Linked DNA regions of Danio rerio. The protein of the gene in region 2 interacts with the protein of the main gene of each other region in a pairwise test. Links are inferred from orthologs where the notes say so. Each region holds a gene or a part of one and is shown on either strand. Other genes may lie near its edges.

What was found. The genes of interacting proteins can lie anywhere in the genome.
Region 1: the proteins of fxr2 (region 2) and ap2m1b interact in binary tests that used the Homo sapiens proteins (3 or more experiments, as listed by UniProt). The link is inferred for Danio rerio from reciprocal best matches to the Homo sapiens genes FXR2 and AP2M1.

Annotation. Positions count from the first base shown.
Region 1 is NC_133193.1:48,953,040-48,957,554, reverse strand, and holds the start of ap2m1b (AP-2 complex subunit mu-B), read right to left. Parts: upstream 3,467-4,515; 5' UTR 3,294-3,466; intron 2,176-3,293; exon of another isoform or gene 1,856-2,175; intron 575-1,855; exon of another isoform or gene 138-574; 5' UTR 97-137; coding exon 23-96; intron 1-22.
Region 2 is NC_133182.1:22,741,052-22,745,566, reverse strand, and holds the end of fxr2 (fragile X mental retardation syndrome-related protein 2), read right to left. Parts: intron 4,197-4,515; coding exon 4,105-4,196; exon of another isoform or gene 3,877-4,104; intron 2,674-3,876; exon of another isoform or gene 2,359-2,673; coding exon 2,248-2,358; 3' UTR 711-2,247; downstream 1-710. UniProt on the Homo sapiens protein: mRNA-binding protein that acts as a regulator of mRNAs translation and/or stability, and which is required for adult hippocampal neurogenesis. Specifically binds to AU-rich elements (AREs) in the 3'-UTR of target mRNAs.

The sequences.
Region 1 (4,515 bases), on a different chromosome or scaffold from region 2:
ATCTCACATCACATAGACTTACCCAATGTCATCGCGGTAAACACGGGAGATCAGCACCTCGCCCTTGTGGTTGTAGATGAAGAGTCCTCCAATCATGGTGGCGGTTAAACTCAGTGTTCACAGGCCATGCTGGAAAACTGAATAAAGAGGAGCCAAAACGTCAGTCAATGGACAAAATAATTTATAAAATCTGATTTAACTTTAAAGTGCATTATGTTTCAGTTTACCTTGAATTTAGCTTAAGCTTAAAGTGTAAAAATATACCAAAACAAGCTAAATTAAATCTCTCATTGGGAGACTTAATGAGAGATTAAAGTGCACAACCACGACAATGTTGACAACACGTGAAGATCTTCTCTTAACACCCTGCTCCTGTAATCCTCTCTATCTGAACCTTGGAAACACCCAAGAATACCCATGACAAGCTAATAAAAAGCCTGAAGTCCATTTCCCGCTAACATTTAAGTGCTGTTGAGCACGTTTTTAAATCAGCACTGATTTGCCATTGTGTTCACATGCACAACAGAAATGACTGTGATTGGCCGAGAAGATCATCTGTTCACCGAACTCACCGCTGTTTACTGAGTGTAACTACAGATACAGGGACACTGGAGCGTTTTAAAGTTGTGATTTCTCAGCAGATCGCTCGTATGTCAGCTTGAACACAAACCAGCTGATCGACTTTGAAACGCTCCAGTGTCCATGTGTGCTCTTCTTATTGGCTCACTGCTCTAACTGAACGCGATTGATTGGTTAATATCAGCTGTCAATCACTCAGTTAATGCCTTCTGCCTTCAGATGACAGGAGCTACAACTGTGAAAATGTGAAGCGCTGAAGATGAGAGAATGAAAATAACACTGACAGATTTACCTAAAGTTACTAATAATGGCACATCTTATTAGTGATCATGTGCTGAATGTTAATCCATTTACACTTTTCCAAGAGTGGATAAAAGACTTCCAGTGTTTCAAGTCCGCTATGAAAATGACTAAAGCCATTCACTGTATAGTCTGTAGGACGGGGTTTGCAGGTAACAGCGTTTGCCACTGAATTTACACATTATAAGTTCGAGAGTTACTATATAAGCCTTCATTTAATCCTCACGATGCTGTCAGCCGTGCAAGCGCCAGCTATAAGTAATATTTAGCACAACTCATGAAAAGACCATTATTGCTATTAAGATGACATGCAAATAAGTTATATATGAATATAAATGTGGGGATAAAAGTTTGTCGGCCATCGGCAATGGACGAAGGCATCGTCTATCGACACAACCCTATCACAATACTTGAATGCTTTTGAAATCAATTTACAATTAAGTGTTGTCACGATACTGGAATTCGATATTAAACGGTAATGAAATTTTAATAACGTCCATTTTCCGCTAACATGTAAGTGCTTTTGATTACGTTCTTAAGCACCGCTAATTTGCCATTGAGTTCACAAGCTCAACTGAAATGACTGTGATTGGCCGTGAAGCGGGCTGGGCAATATTGGAAAAAAATATATCACAGTATTATGCTCCATATTATTCGATATCGGTAATTATTTAATATTTTTTAACAATACATTTAGGAATATTATAAGGCAAGTAGCTTAAATAGTCATATTTACAAAAAATATCGAATCTCTTTATAATAAAATAAAAATTTGTGTTTTTTTCCGCGATTCATCAGCGAATCGCTCGTATGTCAGCTTACAGACAAACCAGCTGATAGACGCGACTTTGAAACACTCCAGTGTTCGCTGTATCTTTAGTTACAATCAGTAAACAGCAGTGAGTTCGGTGAAACGATGACCTTCATGGCCAATTTGTCACTTCTGTTGAGCACATGACCACAATGGCAAATCAACCCTGTTTAAGAAAGTGCTTAACAACAGTGCCCAAATGTTAGCAGGAAATGGATGTCTTTTAAATTCAGAACCGATAGGTATCGAATTCCAGTATCGTGACAGCCCAAACACAATCAGAGACATCAAAAACACATACAAATGATAAATCATAATACTAGTACAACATTGCATATACTGTGAAAGTCTGGAGGTAAAGTGCGCCGGCAAATATCACTGAGGTGGTCACGATAACCCGAGTTTGATTCCCAGCTCAAGGTCCTTCGCCGATCCTTCACCCCCTCTCTAAATTTTCCAGGTATTCCTGTCTCAACACTACTGTCCTGTATAATAAAGGTGAAATAAAAAAAAACGAAAAATAATTATTAATTTTTTTTTTAAAATAATATAAAGATATAATTCTGCCACTTATGTCTTTTCCTCCTCAAATGGGACATCCATGTTCGCTCGCATCTTTCTTTATTAATCATAAAATTATTCTCCATCACATATAACACAAAAACACACATGTAAGCTTTTATAAAAATCACACTATAACTTAATCTATCCTGCGTTTCCTGTTATAGACACATTTACACATCTATCTGGATGATGAGAGACCCTTATACTGAATCAAGCAGAAATGACAGGAACAACTGAAGCAAGTCTAAACCAAAATGACCAAGGATAATATGCATGGGTAAACCTCTGCATTGTGTAAAATTAATATTAACACACAGACAGACCACATAGCCTGTCAACACAAGATTACTCGACAAAACAACATTAGGAGTAAGCATTGTGACACCACAAAGGTTACAGTTTTATGAGTAATTCTAAATATCATAAGAACATAATGAATATTTTGATGATGATGTCATTCCTTAGCCCTACAACATCCATAATGGCTGCTGATGGAGGGGGAAAAAAAGGAAAAATCATATAGCAGTTACGGAGCTAACCGGGAATTTATGATGTTTCCATTATTTCCAGTGATGATTTTTAATAAATGTACAATTCTCTGCAGCATCAATCATGTCTGCGGATGGAGACCAGCGCACTGCGACTGTCTGTCTCGACTCAAAAATGACAGAAAACTCTAATAAACACCAATATATACCGTTCACAGTAAGCTTTCTGCATAATTCTAACAGAAAAAGGCTGGGTTTATTATTAAAACGTCAAAATATTAGCCAGAAATCGCGAGCTGTAGAGGTAACGTTATGTAAAGGTCTCCCATTCAAAAACACAGACATCACGATTTAATACGTTTAAACGGCGTTTTCTTCAGATAACCGTTCCCTAATACCACATATACATGTCATCATTCGACATATTTCCATAAGCGAATCTAACGTTAATGTAAAACGCCCGCGTCCTGCTGGTTAGCTGGTTAAGCTAACTAACTAGCTCAGCTCGGCGGTGTCACGACAGACCCGGCCGGTGAATTCACCCAACTCACCCCTCCGTGTTTGTCTCTGGATGTCCCTCCCGACCAAAACCGGCTTGGCGGACACAGATGTGCTCGGTTCTGACCGAAGCTCGGTGTTATTGACCGGATTTGATGTTCCAGGCTGCGGTCACCGCTCACTCATGAATCCAAGATGTCGCCCGCTGCTCCCTCCCTGTGCAGCCGACAGTCAGCTGACACGCGTGTGCTTTTACACTGAGGTAAACTTGGTTTTATATTCGCACGTTTGGGCTTTATACTATTTCTAGATTTCAACTATTTCTGTATTTGAGCCATTCCATACAAATGTCAACCTTTCCATGAAATAAAGTTTTTACTTTCTAGTTTTTTTTTGTGTGTGTGTGTAGGCTTGTGCACTCACCGACCACTTCATTAGGTACTCCTTACTAGTACCGGGGACCCCCCTTTCCTTCAAAACTGCCTTAATCCTTTGTGGTTAACATTCAAAATGGTACTGGTAATAATATTCCTCAGAGATTTCGGTCCATATTGAGATGATAGAATCACACAGTTCAATCTCCCGTTCCACCACATCCCATAGGTTCTCTATTGGATTGAGAACTGGTGACTGTGGAGGCCATTTGAGTACAGTGAACTCATTGTCATGTTCAAGAAATTAGTCGGAGATGGTTTTCGCTTTATGACATGGCACGTTATCCAGCTGGAAGTAGCCATCAGAAGATGGGTACACTGTGGTCATGTCATAAAGGGACGAACACAGTCAGCAACAATACTTAGGTAGGCTGTGACGTTGACATGGTGTTCAATTGGTACTAATGGGCCAAAAGTGTGCCAAGAAAACATCCCCACACCATTACATCACCACCACCAGCCTGAACCATTGACTCAATGCAGGATGAATCTATGCTTTCATGTTGTTGACACTAAATTCTGACCCTACTATACGAATGTCGCAGCAGAAATGGAGACTCATCAGACCAGGCAACGTTTTTCCAATCTTCTATTGTCCAATTTTGGTGAGCCTGTGTGAATTGTAGCCTCAGTTTCCTGTTCTTAGCTGACAGGAGTGGCACCCGGTGTGGTCTTCTGCTGCTGTAGCCCATCCGCTTCAAGGTTGGCCGTATTGTGCATTCAGAGATGCTGTTCTACAGTCCACGGTTGTAACGAGTGCTTATTTGAGTTACTGTTGCGTTTGTCAGCTCGAACCATTCTGGCCATTATCATCTGATATTTGTTATCAACAAGGCATTTG
Region 2 (4,515 bases):
GAAGGCAAAAGAGGGTCCAACCCCGTACTAGTAAGGTGTACCTAAAAAAGTGGCCGGTGAGTGTAAAAGACTACATATACAGTTCAAAAAAACAACTTGTAGCCCTCTTGTGAAATATTAATCCGTTTTCAAATAATTCTCAAGTGATATCTTCTGGGGCAAAAACATTTAACAGTATATCTGATATTTTTTCTTCTGGAGTAAGTCTAATTTGTAATATTTTGACTAGAATAAAAGCAGTTTTACATTTTTTTAAACCATTCAAACGTCAATATTATCAGCCCCCTTAAGCATTATTTTTATTGTTTACAGAATAATCCACTGTTACACAATGACTTGCTTAATTAACCTAATTAAGCCTTTAATTAACAGTATCTTGAAAACTATCTGTCATCATGGCAAAGATAAAATAAATCAGTTATTAGAAAAGAGTTATTTAAACTATTGTGTTAAAAATGTGTGAAAGCTTTTCTTTAAACATAAATTGGGGAAAATAAATATAGAGGGGGGCTAATAATTCTGACTTAATCTGTGAAATGTGTCTTTTTGTGCAAGATCTTTTAACAAGCAAGTCCTAGATGAAATCATTGCTTTTTTAATACAAGTTTTAGTTTTACTAGTTTCGATGCGTTTTTATTCCCCATTCATCAATCAATCGCGTAACTGAAATCAGACGGAAATGAAAACAGAATGCAAAACACACACAGGTGTCATTCCAGAAATAATTTATTTCACTTCCTTTTTAATCTTTTTTGTTTTTTCATGATGTGGAAAGTACAACCAAAAAAGAAAAGAAAAAAAAAACAATCTTTGAGAGCAGGAACCAAGATGACAAGTAACAGCAAGGGAACAATCCTCCCCTTTTCATCGGGACAACCAGAAATACAACCAACGCTTGAACCTCCTGAGCAGAGACCCAAGCTCCATTCCTGCACACTGGAGTGTATTACAATGCTCTCGGATGTATGCATGTATGTGTGTGAACGAATGCCTGACTCTTCATCAGAAAAGGGTTTCACTGTTTACCGAAGACCAACCATACACACCAGAGGGGGCGCCGGTGAGGCCTCAACCCCATCCAGCCCTTCAGACAGCGGTGGCTGGAAGCTACCGAGAGTGTGTGTGCACACGCATGCCAGCTTTTACACTCACAATAATCCTGCCTCCCTTCTCCCCAAAACCGTATGGTGGGCTGTTGAAATACTGAATATGATCAACACTGTCTGTTAGATTGTTTCCGTCTCGGTCTTGTTCTATTGGGAAAGACTTGTGCCACCTCAATCAGAGAGATCGAATCACATTTAGGATTCTACTGTCGTCTCCTGGATCATATGACGTCCTTCCCAATTTATACACTTTTACTTCATGTCTCACAACAACACATGAACAAACAGACACACACTCGTACACACACACACACACACACACATTAAACGGCTTTCAAATAACGACCTTGGACAAATGTCATAATTTCATGTTTGGCATTAATTATCGCTCTTCTCCCCCAAAATCCGCACTCCTCTTAATCCGCACAATCCTCTCCATCCTTTAGACAAAATAAAAACACCAAAAACAAAACGGAACCATCTACTTCATCCAGTCGAGAACGCAAACGTTAAGGTAAAAAGAAAATACTCAAGTTTTTTTTTTTTTTTCAAATTCAAGGCACAATGTCTCTCCGCTTCCCCTTTTTGCCCTTAAATTCAGAGTACCACAGACTCAGCTGTCAATCACTCGTGAGAGGCTCCGCCTTCAATCCTCTCCGCTAGCTCCGCCCTCATTTAGCTAACACTGTTTTCAGAGATGCTATATCTGTTGGGGAGTGTGTTCACAATCCCACGCCAGTGAGTACAAACAAACAAACGAAAACAAATAATGACGGCAACGACAACAGCAACAACGAAAACTAAAAAAATCTAAAACGAAACCCCAAAATAGTCACGTCCTGTTTTCTGTGTTACGTCAGAAATTTGAGTCATATCCATCAGCTCATTTTTGGCAAGCTTGTCTTAAATAAGCACTAAGTACTGATAGATAGGATAAACATACACCGTTATGTGTGGTTTAAAGTAGATGCGCTCGTCGTATTTTTACTTTTTTTTTTTGTTTTCTCGTAGACTTCATGAATTCAAGGATTTTAGTCGATTTTCATTCGTCAGTTTAAAGGTTTACGTGAATGCAAGCAGGGACAGAGTTCGCCATGGTGTCTTGCTTTAGACGTGGGTCTTGAGGGGGCGAGATGACTTTTTAGGAGACGCCGTTCACCATGGCCAGAGCCTCACCGGGCGACGCCACGCCGTTACTGGGCGAGCGCTTTGAAGGAGTGCGCTCTTCCTTACTCACGCTGGTCCCGTTTTCCTGATGGAGAGAGAGATAAAACACTGTTGATGCTATGTTTTGAGTCTAATGCTAGTCAAGCTGTGCTTTAACCCAAAAGATTACTTTGAATATTTTATAATGGTGGCACAGACATTTTACTCGGCTTTCAAAAAAGCAATACTTGTAAAAGTAACAATCAGGCCAGAATGTAGCATATATAATGATATTCAGACAGACAGACACTCCCATCAACGAAGTATGAATAATCTTGTAAAGCATTAATCACAGTTTAACATTTACTATTGCGTTAAGATCCAAAATTGTGCTTGTTAACATTAGATAATGGACTGTGGGCTAACGCCTGTTTCACACCGCAAGCGTCAGCGGCGCGTGAGCAGAGCGTGCGCAGCGTGTATGTCAAGCAGTAGCAGCACGCAGGCGTTTGCCTTTCACACCAGCTGCGTCTGCAGCGCGCAGCTCTTCGGCAGCTGCTGCAGAGATCAACCTATCTCTGTCTATTCAATCTAGTTACCCATGTCTCTCCATATACAAATACACTTTTTAAACTTTTCATCTGCACCAAGGCCCCTCCTATGCTGTTTCTTTAACCTGCAAATGTTTATTTTACAAATTTTATAGATCAAATAGTACTGTCTGCTTCTTAAGCTAACTTATATGAGAAGTGTCTACAGTCAAAAGACAATTGCCTGTGATATCATGTCATTTGTTTTTTGATTATCAGGTTGCTGTAGACCTAGTTATAATAATATTTATACAATATAATTATAATGATATTTATACATGATCAAACTAGTGTTACTTTCTCTGCTTCAGTGATGTCCAGCGGCAGAATAACAGCTCGTTAATTCATGCTCGTGCAGAGGATGAGACGGACAAAAGTAACCAATGCATGCCATTCTTTTACTTATTTTCGTGTTGTCAGATTCACAGTGCAAACAGCTCCCGGTAGGAATAATCCGAGTGAACATAAAACAAAGCCGATTAAAACTTTCTTCCTCTGCTTAGCTGCACAGAACACAGCGAGCTCACATAATCCAGCATGCGTGTCGAACTACACTACCCACAATACACTTCGCTATGGACTACAAATCCCGTAAATATTCTATTTCCCCTCTCCTACAACACTAGTGTGCAACTTAAGCAAAACTGATACTAAAATTGTTTTATATTTGGTTTTGTAGTTTGGGCCTAAATAAATGTTTGTTGCCGTTTTTAATCGTTTTAAGTTAATTTGAATGACTATATATAAACCATTTGACATTATTAACACATTTATTGGGTAAAATTGCTACTTTTTACTGTCATTCAATGTGTTTTGGTCATTATCAATGCACTGTCACTTTAATTGAGCGTGAGCAGCGCGTCAAAAATAGAACCAGTGCCGAAACTATCGCTGCACTGCTGCTTCGGCGACGCTCACGCCTCGCTCTGATGCGCTGCTGCTGCGTGCGGTATGAAAGCTCTAATCTGTTAACATGGACGCCGAAAACACACGTGCTGCTCACGCTCTGCTCACGCTTGCGGTGTGAAACAGGCCTAAGACTAAAACTAACGTTAGGTAACTTTAATAACATTAACCAATGTTAGCTAAAATGTAATAAATGTATTACTTAAAGTTTTTTTCATGTTAGTAAATACATTAATTTATGAACTGTCATAGTAAATTTTTACCAAAAAAACAAAACAAAACAAAAACGTACATGCACAGTAAAGACGTTCACAATCATGCATAATTATGTGTCTTGTGTTGTAGTATGTGCAGACCTTAGGATGGGACACGTGTGGGTTGGCCTCCTTCCCCGGGAGATTCTGTCTGCTCTGGGACTCGGCACGAGAGATGAAGTCAGCAACAGTAACTATACCAACAACACCGGCAACAGTAGTCAGAAGAGGGAAAGCAGCAGGGGAGATCAAACAGGTGGACTCAAATCTTGTAGCATTGAAACAGCTCTTATAGCTGTATTCACATCTTTTAGAAGACATGACTTCATATTAACCACCCAAATTATTTACAATAATATACAACAACAGCCCAATTATATGGTCAAAATAAATTAGCTTTAAATATGATCAGAAGCAGAATCTCACCCTATCCAACCATCTGCCGACACATTTTACACATCTATACACATTTTTGGATGGGTTTTTGAATATTTAGTTATTTATTATTATATA